Canis lupus familiaris: one gene and its partner. The protein of the gene in region 2 interacts with the protein of the main gene of each other region in a pairwise test. Links are inferred from orthologs where the notes say so. Each region holds a gene or a part of one and is shown on either strand. Other genes may lie near its edges.

Evidence for each region.
Region 1: the proteins of TNNI3 (region 2) and TNNC2 interact in binary tests that used the Homo sapiens proteins (3 or more experiments, as listed by UniProt). The two-hybrid records come from large-scale screens. The link is inferred for Canis lupus familiaris from reciprocal best matches to the Homo sapiens genes TNNI3 and TNNC2.

What each region holds. Positions count from the first base shown.
Region 1 is NC_049245.1:33,759,184-33,764,512, reverse strand, and holds TNNC2 (troponin C, skeletal muscle), read left to right. Parts: upstream 1-1,953; 5' UTR 1,954-2,074; coding exon 2,075-2,077; intron 2,078-3,498; coding exon 3,499-3,550; intron 3,551-3,673; coding exon 3,674-3,817; intron 3,818-3,905; coding exon 3,906-4,020; intron 4,021-4,156; coding exon 4,157-4,293; intron 4,294-4,424; coding exon 4,425-4,456; 3' UTR 4,457-4,613; downstream 4,614-5,329. UniProt on the Homo sapiens protein: Troponin is the central regulatory protein of striated muscle contraction. Tn consists of three components: Tn-I which is the inhibitor of actomyosin ATPase, Tn-T which contains the binding site for tropomyosin and Tn-C.
Region 2 is NC_049222.1:103,239,513-103,244,991, reverse strand, and holds TNNI3 (troponin I, cardiac muscle), read right to left. Parts: upstream 3,727-5,479; 5' UTR 3,588-3,726; coding exon 3,577-3,587; intron 3,342-3,576; coding exon 3,329-3,341; intron 3,191-3,328; coding exon 3,104-3,190; intron 2,740-3,103; coding exon 2,698-2,739; intron 2,396-2,697; coding exon 2,264-2,395; intron 1,889-2,263; coding exon 1,799-1,888; intron 1,665-1,798; exon of another isoform or gene 1,383-1,664; intron 1,302-1,382; coding exon 1,125-1,301; intron 700-1,124; coding exon 616-699; 3' UTR 553-615; downstream 1-552. Other genes in the region: DNAAF3 (dynein assembly factor 3, axonemal), read right to left, coding at 4,700-4,955, 5,046-5,120, 5,275-5,389. UniProt on the Homo sapiens protein: Troponin I is the inhibitory subunit of troponin, the thin filament regulatory complex which confers calcium-sensitivity to striated muscle actomyosin ATPase activity.

The sequences.
Region 1 (5,329 bases), on a different chromosome or scaffold from region 2:
GACAAGAGTTTATATAAGTATATATATAAGAGTTTATATATAAGATCAAGAGTTGCATGCTCTACCGACTGAGCTAGCCAGGCACCACAAGGAAGTGATGTTCAAGTTGAGAAAGATGACAGGGATGTAGGCAGGTGAAGAGAAGATGGGGGTTACGGGCAGAAAACAAACAGCATGTACAAAGACCTGGAGGCTCTAAAGGGTGGCGTTTGGAGCTCTATTTTAACTTGACCAGACCAGAGCAGCATGCAAGATGGGGAGGAAAGGGGATTGAGATTGGGAGGTTAAAGGGAATAGATAAATCTGGACCTTATCTATTTCTCTGAATAAATGCAAGAACAAATTAATGAACAAATGGTTGTGGAGCGTTCCAAACTCTCTGCTTCAAAGAAATCATTGTGGTTCCAGGGCTCACATCCAAATTGGACTCCCCTAGTGTCGCTGCCCCTTGGCCCTCTGCCTGGCAGGGGGAGGCCTTATGTAGCCCGGCTTGGCTCCACTGAGCTTTTCTTGGGAATGTCTATAAATAGAGGAAGATGGCAGCCCAGCTGCCACTGTCTATCTGCCTTTCCTTGGAATCCAGCCTCCTTTCGCTGGCCCTGGGCTCTGCGCTCAGTTGCCTTAGTGCTCTTTCTGTTGACTTAGCTGCTGTCCACAGCCTCGGCTACCTCTCCAACACCCAGCCCAGACCCTGGGTGTTGGGCTCAGTATGGACTAGACTTGCTCTGCCCATCCCTTCACTCTCCAGATGGCCGGCCAAGCTGCTCCAGACTTCTTCACCGAGCTCTAGGAAAGGGCCTGCTGCCCCTTTACCCACCTAGAGAACCTGCCCCCAGTCCCCCTCTCCCTCAAAAAAAGTGAATCACAAACACCGTTTCCCTGGAGCAGGTAAACTCGAAAGATCTGCTTTCAATGTTTATTTATTAATTAAAAGATTGTATTTATTTATTCAGAGAGATACAGAGAGAGAGAGAGAGGCAGAGACATAGGCAGAGAGAGAAGTAGGCTCCCTGTGGGGAGCCCAATGTGGGACTCCATCCCTAGACTGGGATCATGCCCTGAGCCAAAGGCAGACACTCAGCTGCTGAGCCACCCAGGCATCCCTCAATGTTTATTTCTCTTCCAAATGCATACCCATCTCCTGGATCTGTAGATTTCTCCTTTGGACAGGTCCCCTCCTGGCTGTCCCAACTTCCCTTCAGGAATAATAAGAATCATTGACATGACTATAGACCTTTGTGATTTAACAAAGCTCCCCAGTAAAAAGGGAATAATAATAGCTTCTCCCCTATAGATGACGACTAGGTGAGATCACATGGTTAAAATGCTTAGCATGGAGTGTGAACCTAGAGGTTCAGTGACTGGCTGTCATTCTCTCCTCCTCCCCTCCCCTGCCCTCTAGCATGGTTCAGACAGGACATTCCACTTGCCAAGCACCAACCCTATAGAGCAGGCACAAGCTCGGCGACTTACACCTGGGCCCCATTTCTCATTGGTCTCTCTGTGAGGGCGGGTCATGACTGTCCCCATCTCCACCTCACAGAGAAGGAAACTGAAGCTCAGAAACTGAAGCTCAGAGTGGCATGTCACCTGCCTAAGAGTACACAGCTTGCAAAGAAAGTATTGGGTTTAAGACTTCAAGGCTCGTGCTCTTTCCTGTCTGCCATGCTGCTTCAACTTTTCTGGATTCTGATTATCCTCACCCATCTTGGAGCAAGCGTGTTTCTTGAGCAGGGGCTCCCTAAAGCAGTGGAGCAGGGCGGGTTCTTCTCCCAAGAATCTAGGACGTCAAGGCCTGCCACCTGCTCACAGGCTTAAATTTCTCTGCAAGGGCCCTTGGCTAAATTAGGTAATGGGCCAGGACTCTGGAATGGGGGTGGGGGAGGAAAGGAGGAGGTGCTCACTGACCCCAGGATCTGATTGGCCAGGGCAATTAGTCCTGGGGAGCAGAGAGGTGGGAGGAGAGGGTGCCCCTACAAATCCAAGGTGCTGGAGCAGGCCAGGGTATCTTTGGGTGGTGGAGTGCTGAGGAGGTGACTGACCTGAAGCAGGGGAGGCCCAGTGACTTGCAACCATGGTAAGGACAAGAAGGAACTTCATCCCTTTGCTTGCTGGAGCACTTCTGGACCTCTTCCAGGCCAGATCTGGGTGCTCTGTAGTTCAGTAATTGGACGTTTAAAGATGGAACATGTAGGCTCCTGGAGCCTAGATGTCTAGGAGGAAGCCTGGGAAGAAGGCCTTGGACTTCTCTAGGAAGGGGAGGGCTGGGTGCTCTGGGATTGCCAACTCCCTGCAGACCTAAGGCTTTGGCAGTGTTGGCCACGGAATTGTGAGGGGGGTGTTAGCTTGTCTCCCTCACGGTGGAGGTGGGGACCCTGAGGGCCAGAGTGAGTCACCTAGCAAGCCAGTGGCTGGGGTGAGCTAGCTGGAGGTCTTGCCAAATCATCCTACTGCCGGTGAGAGGAGTCCTCTAGAAGAAGGGAGGCCTACAGAGCTTCAAGCCAGCTAAGGTGCAGGATCCCAAGAGCTATGAGGGAGAGAAGGGGCAGAAGATGATAGACCAAGGTTAGAGACCCCAGCCTCCCAGAGAGGGAGGTCATTTCCCCTGAGGTCCCTCTCCCCACTTCAAGGGGTAACTAGACCCCACAGGACAGCTGCTGTTGCCCATGCCAGGCTAAAAATAGCCTGCCCTCCTGCATGGTCAAGGAGGAGGGAGGAGGGGAGGGTAAGGAGGAGGGCAGTGGCTAGCTGGCCGCCGAAGAAGGCCTTGGCCACCTCAGCCCCTCCTCCCCGCCAGCCTCAGTCCAAAGTCCCATAGCCAGATGGCTTGGCTTGGATGTGGCCAGATCGCCTCCCCCGAAATCTTATTTCCACCTCCACAAGGCCCCCATTATATTCTGTCCAGCATGATTATGATTTACTCCAATGGCTAAGTGATAAGAAGGGAGCTTAAAATCTCCATCTCCACAAGTTGTCGGAGGGAAGGGATGGGTGTCTGGGTCTTCTTGGCCTCAGTGTCCAGTGTCTGGCCTGACGCTTAGTTGGGGCTCAATGACTCTGCCTTGCATTATTGAGAACATTTACTGAGCCCCTATTATAGTACCAGGCTCTACTGGGAGCTGGGGGACACTGAAAAATGATGCTGGAATAGTGCTGGTACTTTACAAAACTCTTTGACGTCTCTGATCTTTTCATTCTTGAAAAGCAGCTGAGAAGAGCTAGAGTAGAATAAGTGACTTGCCCAAGGTTAGAAAGGGGGATTCCTGACTTGACATCTGATTAGCAGGTTTGGAGACCCTGGGCATAATCTGTTTCCTCCTTGTTCTTCAAAACTGGGGTTCAGGTGCTGCGGGAGCATGCAGAAGGTGTTGTTAGTTTGGAACTGTTCTTCTGGAAGACCAAAGGGCACTGACAGAAAGGGGTTGAAGAGAAGGGGGTTAAGGCAAGAATGAGCTCTGGGGCCACCCCTTCTGCTGGCTGACTCTGTGTCTCCTGCAGACGGACCAGCAGGCGGAGGCCCGGTCCTACCTCAGCGAGGAGATGATCGCTGGTGAGTGCGGGCCGGCGGGCGGGTGGCTGCGTGCTGGGCAGTGCTGGGGGCTGGGCAGGGTGGGAGGGAGGGTGTGAGGCTGACAGTCCAGCCAGGCCCACCTCGGTCCTCTGCCTCGCTCAGAGTTCAAGGCTGCCTTCGACATGTTCGACGCTGATGGTGGCGGGGACATTAGCGTCAAGGAGTTGGGCACGGTGATGAGGATGCTGGGCCAGACCCCCACCAAAGAGGAGCTGGACGCCATCATCGAGGAGGTGGACGAGGATGGTGAGCAGGTGGCCCTCCAGGGGCTGCGACTGCGGCGGGCGGGGTGGGCCCGCAGGGCTCAGGCTCACTCGCCACCTGCTCGCCTCAGGCAGCGGCACCATCGACTTCGAGGAGTTCTTGGTCATGATGGTGCGCCAGATGAAAGAGGATGCGAAGGGCAAGAGCGAGGAGGAGCTGGCCGAGTGTTTCCGCATCTTCGACAGGTGCACTGAGGGCTGGGGAGCCGAGAAGGCGCTGGGCTGGGCGAGTGCGCGGACCAGGCGGCGCGGGTGGGCGGTGTGGGGGTGTGGGGGGCGGCTCGCCCCCGCCTGTCCTGACACCCTGTCCCTTCGCCCCAAGGAACGCAGACGGCTACATCGATGCGGAGGAGCTGGCTGAAATCTTCAGGGCCTCCGGGGAGCACGTGACAGACGAGGAGATTGAGTCCCTGATGAAAGACGGCGACAAGAACAACGACGGCCGCATCGACTTCGACGGTGAGGGCGGGCGCGGGGCGCGGGGCGCGGGGCGCGGGGCGGGGCTCCCACGCGGCCGTCCGTGGCTTTGTCCGCAGGGCGGGAGCCCCGGCGGTGCGTGCGACTGACGCTTCCGCGCTCCATCCCCGCAGAGTTCCTGAAGATGATGGAAGGCGTGCAGTAAGAAGTCGCCCCCGCATCCGCCCCGACGCGCGTCCCTCGGGCGAGGGCGGGCCCGGCACCCCCGCCCCGCCCCGTCACGGCCTCAGCCCCAGGAGGGAGGCGCGGCCCCTGCGGGCTCTGTGTGCAGGGGAATAAAAGCAGACACTGCGAAGCGCGTAGCCTGAGTGAGGGTGTCAGGGCCCGCCTGGCTGGGCCGCCGTCCGGGGCACCACCCGAGCGCCTCGGGGCTCCAAGGAGCGGGCACCCGAGTTGCGGGACGCACCGAGGCGCGGGACCCCGGGCAGGTTCCCGGGCGCTGGCGCTGGGCGTGCACAGCTCGGCCGGCGGGGTTGCCGCGGCGCCTGGCGCTGGAGGAGGGAGGCCGGCGGTGGGGGTGCGGGTTGGCGCTTGGAGCTGTCGGGGTGAGGGTGCCGGGGATGGCGGGTAGGGTGAGGGCGCGGCAGGAGGCTGGAACCCGCGGGAGGCCGAGGTGAGGCCCCTTTCCTTCCCCGCCGTCGTTCCTTTCTGGAGCCTTTGGGTCTGGGGTGCAAGCTACCGGGCTGGCGATGGAGAAGCGGGTATCGTATCCATCCGTTCCAGGCAGCATTCACTCTTGGTTGACTTTTTCTACTTCGTCTGTTCTGAGCGTTTATAGGTGCTCCATACTGGAGATGGGAGAGGAGGGTAGGGGCACACAGCCGGGAAGGAGGTTCTGACGTCATCATCTCCACCCTGCATCCCTGCCTCCAGCTCCCGCCAATGCCAGTGTGCTCAACATGGGGCCATTAGCAAGATCTAGCTAAAAGAAATCTGACCTGGCTGCTCCCTTGTTGAAATACCCTCAGGGCTCCCCTTCGCTTCTAGAATCAAGTCCAAATTCCTTTCCCCTCCTACC
Region 2 (5,479 bases):
CTGGGCATTTCTCCAGGGGCTGTCTCTCTGGGTCTCTCCGAGTCTGTGTTTTCACTCCCTGTGTCTCCCCATGCATTTTTGTCTCTGCATTTCTGGGGGTGAATCTGTCAATTTCTGTGAATCTGTCTACTGGCATATGAATGTGTGTGACCTCATTTATGTCTTTCTTTGGCTCTGCATCCGTGTCTTCCTCCATGTCTCTGCATTGTCCCTCTTTCAGTCCCTATTTCTGCCTTGTTTGGTGGTCTCTGATGTGCTTTGTGCACATCGGCCTCTCCATTTCCCCTTTCTTTGCAGGTCTTTCTAGGAATCTCTGTCTTTTCTCCCTCTCTGTGGGTCTCTGGCTGTCTCTGTGTGTGTGCATGTCTCTCTCCTTGGACCTCGGTCTGGGCATCTCTGCACACCCTGCGTGTGAGGCATAAGAGCTGGGAACGCCCCCTACTGCAGACCCAGCTCTGCTCCTGCTGTGTGGTGTGGCTTTGGGGGACTCTCCCCTCAGTCTTCTCATCTCCCTCACACCGGACCCCCAGGTAGCAGACTTGCAGCCATTTCTAGCTCAGAGAGAAACTTTATTCCTCAAGGACACCTTCAGGGCCAGGGCAGGGGGCAGCCAGCTCAGCCTTCAAACTTTTTCTTGCGGCCCTCCATTCCACTCAGCGCATCGATGTTCTTACGCCAGTCTCCCACCTCCCGGTTTTCCTGGAGGAATGGGGCCAGGAGTGAGGGCTTCTCTCCCATCTACACTCTCTCAAATAGCCTCCCCCCAATCTTTGGCCCGCTGGGCCACTCTGCTTTGGATGTCCATTTTGAGATCTGCTTCTGGAAGGCTTCTCATCCCCTCAGGCGATCCCATCAAAGTTGCCCCCATGCACATCCTATCTCCCTCATGCACTTCTGGCCTTGCTACTTCCTTTCTCCCTAATGCACTTCCTGGCTTCCCCTTCTACTTTCTGGCTTCCCCTTGCACTTCCTATGCCCCTCCTATACTTCCTATTGGGGACCTCTTACCAGATTCTTCTCCCCATAACTCCAAGTAGCATCTGCCCTGAGCTTAGGCCCAATGACTGTTATGTCCCACACCCTCTCCTCTGAGCACCCCCTTTCCTGGCTCTAGCCACACTCACCTTCTCTGTGTCCTCCTTCTTCACCTGCTTGAGGTGGGCCCGCAGGTCTAAGGACTCCTTAGCCCTGGTGCCCAGCAGCGCCTGCATCATGGCATCTGCAGAGATCCTCACCCTCCGCAGGGTGGGCCGCTTAAATTTGCCACGAAGGTCAAAGATCTTCTGGGTCAGATCTGCTATCTGGGGGCAGCCATAAGGGAAGGTAGAAACCTCCACCAGACCCATTCTTCCACCCTATACTTCCCTCTGCTCTCTTTCCAGGCCTATGGAGGTCTCATCCAGGCTCCTCATCCAGTAACTGTAAGCCCTCCCGACGGGCCCAGCCTCCTCTCTGAAAAACACTTGACACCTCCTGGTGCTGCTGCATGCATCCCACAATTTCCTGACCCATGCCTGAGCTCACCTATCAACAACACCCGATGCTCCAGCTACACATTTCCACGAATACAGCTTCTGCGTTCCCAACTCCTGGCTTTTGTGTGCTATTGTCCCCTCTGCCTGGAACAGCCTTCCCTAACCACTTTATACTCATTCTTCTGCCCCATCCCTGCCAGGCCCAGCTGTCCTGGGTCTCCTGGTGTCTGCAGTCAACAGCAGCTGCAAGGGCGTGGACTGAGACCACAACCCCAGGCACCAGACTTTACCCGAAGGGACCAAGACTGCCCAGGGCCCCCCACCTCTGTGATGTTCTTGGTGACTTTCGCCTCCACATCGTATCTCTCTTCATCCACTTTGTCCACTCGGGCGTGGAGTTGTCGGCACAAGTCCTGGTCAAGAATGTGGTATGTGTGGTTGGGGGACGGGGGTACTCTGACTCCTGAGTCTGAGGGAGGAGGCCCTGGGGGCCTGGACATCTAGTCCTAGAGGACTCTGGGGCAGCTGGAATAAAGGGTGCTGGGAGCCAGGAGTCCTGAGAATCTGACAGAATTGGGGCTGGAGAGCCTAATCTCTGGGTTTTGAGACTGTAGGCAGCTGCAGGCCATATTTCTGAACTCCTGAGGGTAAGGATTAGCAGACTGGATCACAAGGTCCAGAGCAGAGGTAGGGGACAGTGACTAGACCGGTGAGTCCAAACCATGCAGGAGCGGTCACTAGGTACCTCGGATCCCCAGCTGGGCAGGAGTCCCTGATGAGAACGGTACCTGCAGCTCCGCGAAGCCCAGCCCGGCTAACTCCAGCGGCTGGCACCGCGTGCTCAGGGCGCGCCCTTTCTCTCCGCGCCGCTCCTCCGCCTCCCTCTCCAGCTCTTGCTTCGCGATCTGCAGCATCAGGGTCTGCAGAGGCGAGGCCGGGGACCGCAGCCCACCCGGGGAGGCGGATGAGGGCTGCGCGGCATCCGCACCGGGGAGGCCGCCCTGGCCAGGACAGCCCCCCAGTTCCAGGCAGGGTCCGCGGTTTTCCAGAGACGCTCCCCTTCAATCCGAGGCTCCGCCCCCGTGGCGGGGAGAGGGTGGGTGCTGCTCACCACAAGCCACGCTCACTCCCCACTGAGGCCTCGTCCTACCCCCTCCCGCACCCGACCCTCCAGCTCCACCCCCTGAGGACACCTAGGCGCCCCCTCCAGGCCCACCAGCACCTTCAGCTGCAGTTTCCTCGAGGCGGAGATCTTGGACTTTTTCTGCCGGGGTGACATGGAGCAAGGAATAATCAGGGCGGGGAGTAGGAGACAGATGGTCGGGGGCATGGGTAGGTTCCAGATTTGGACTCGCTTCCCGCTGAAGCTGAGCCCCTCAGCCCCATCCACCAACCCTGACCCCCTGACTGCTTAGGCAGTTCCCATGGGCAACGAACTCCGCCCATAGGCAGGCCACACCAATCCGAGCCCTCCCTCCGCAAAACCCCGCCCCTAGGGCGCAGCTTCCTCCTAGGCTCCGCCCACAGCCAAAGCCCCGCCCCAGCCAAGGCTCTGGCACCGCCCCTCCACCCCTGGGTCCCGCCCCCTCTGCGGACCGGGAACCGAGCCCCGCCAGCCCCTCGCTCACCTTGGCGTGCGGCTCCGTGGCGTACGCGCGGTAGTTGGCGGAAGACTGGCGTCGGATCGGGGCCGGAGCGGGGGGCGGGCACCCCGCCTGGGGTTGGGGGGATGGAGCCACGTCACTGCGGGCCCCCCCAGCGCCCCTCTACGGGTGGAGCTGCCACCTCCCGCCCCAGGGCCCACCCTGCGGCTCCCTCCCCTGCCGTGGACCCCGGCCTGCGCCTCCTCTCACCGCATCGCCGCTCCTGAAGGAAGAGACCGGGAAGGGGGGGTTAATGGTGGGCCTCTGTCCCGTCCAGTCTAAGGGACCCCAGGGGCCGCCCACCAGCTGCCCAGTCCTCGGGTTCCAGGGAGTCTGGTTCCCAAACCTTTCTTCGTGCCGATAGCCAGGAGTCTGTCCCCACCTCCCTCCTCAGGCCTCACAGGCCCACGTCCCACCGCCTCGGGCCCTGCAGGTCCGAGTTCCCTAGATGCACTCACTCATCCGCCATGCGCAGACTCAGGCCAAGGCTTGCAGGAGGCAAAGAAGGGCAAGGGGCGATTGGAAGGTCAGTGAGGGGGCATCCGGGATGACCTTGAAGGCCCCCAGAGCTTCAGTCTGTCTGCACTGCTCAAGCTTCACTGAAGACACTGAGATAAGGGGCGTGGACTGAGACTAAATATACTGCTGCCACCTCCTCCCCCTGCCCAGGATGTGAGATAACCGGGGCGCGTGAGGGGTGGGGTGGGCTGTGCTCCAGCTGGATCACCCTTCCACCTTGGAGGCCTGGAACCCAGCCCCTCCTCCCTCACACGCAGGGGTTCAGGCCCCCATTCCCCTCCTCCAGCAGACACAGGAGTTCAGGCCCCCAGCCCTTCCTCCCTCAGATGCAGGAGTTCAGGCCCCCAGCTCCTTGGTTCTTCAGACCCAGAAGTCTGGGGCTCATCCCCACACTAAACAGTGATCTCCATGAGAGCTATGATCAGTTTCTGTGTCCCAAACCTGTTAGCCACTCAATAAATTTTGTTGATTTATGTGACGATCCAGGTATGGTCCAGACTCTCAGGCAATAACAGCCCAGAGAAATCCACTTGGAACTAGGTCTCCTCTCTTAACCACCCTAGCCCCTTCCCTGTCCCAGCCCTGGAGACAAAAGTGAAGACAAAGACACAAGGGCACATGAAGAAGAGGACACCACTCTTTTTATCTGGACTATGTGGGTGTGGACCAGCCCTGGAAAGCAGATTCCCCCAACCCTCAGGTAAAATAGGACCTCTGAGGACAAGAAAACCACATAGAGGGCCTGAGACTCAGGGCCGGATCTCTAGAGTCTCAAGAATGGAATGTGGAACCCTGAAAGAACACTCTAGAATTCTAGGAACAGAATATAGAATCCCAGGAAGGTAATCTGAAATTCTAGGGACACCGCTGGAGCTGTTGGAGAATATTGAGAGTATACCCGAGTGAATATTCTAGAGGCAAGCTCTACTTCCAGGACCTGACCTTAGAGGTCAGAGATGGGGGACTGGATATCTGGGAATGGGGTCAGACTCTCTGTGGGTGGAGCCAGAACCTTGGGGAGTAGAGCTGGAGTTTGAGGGGTTCTGAGCGCAGTTTGAGGGGCTAAGAGGGTGGGGTCCCGCCTTTGAGAGGCTGACTCTGGTTCTCAAGGGCCGGAGCCAGGGTGTCAGGGGGCGGAGTCATGGATTCCGAAGCTGAGTCAGTGTGCTGGCCAGCAGAGTCCAAGGCTTTGCAGAAGCGCGCAAAGGTCTCCGAGGGCCTGGCCTGGGGTGGGGGCGTGAATCCAGCCGCCTGAGCTAACTCTCCAACCCGGGCAGCAAAGCCCTGCAACTGCTCCTGCCTCAAGTCCACCAGGTACCTGAAACAAGGAAGGGGTATGTTAGGGGGTCCCCGGCTGTGAGCCCAGGGCTGGATATTCCCTGCCCTGCGCTCCCACTGGCTGGCTCACCGGGCCAATTCCACCACCAAGCGTCCTCCGGGGGCCACACAGGCCCCGAGATCGGGGCTGAGAAGATGCACCATCCTGAGTAGAGAAAAGTGAGGGCTGAGGGCTGAGACTTAGACTTTCAGGTCCTGAGGGAGTAGTGGGGCCAGGGAATCTGGGTGCTGACTGAGGAGGGGCTGAGGGCCAGGATTTCTGGGTGTGAGGGCAGAGGAGCCAGAGACCTCTTTCTTACCCACAGGCCACATAAAGCAGCTGGAACCGTCCCTTGTAGCAGCTCTTGTGGTGAAGGGTTTCTGCAGAGCCGAGAGGCAGGAAGCGCACAGTGAAGAATCCCGGGGCAGAGGCAGCTGGGGATGAACCCGCAGTTAGGCAGGCACACCAAGCTTGGAGATAATGCTCCTTGCCTACCTGTCTTGAAGCCCTTTCTCATCATCTCT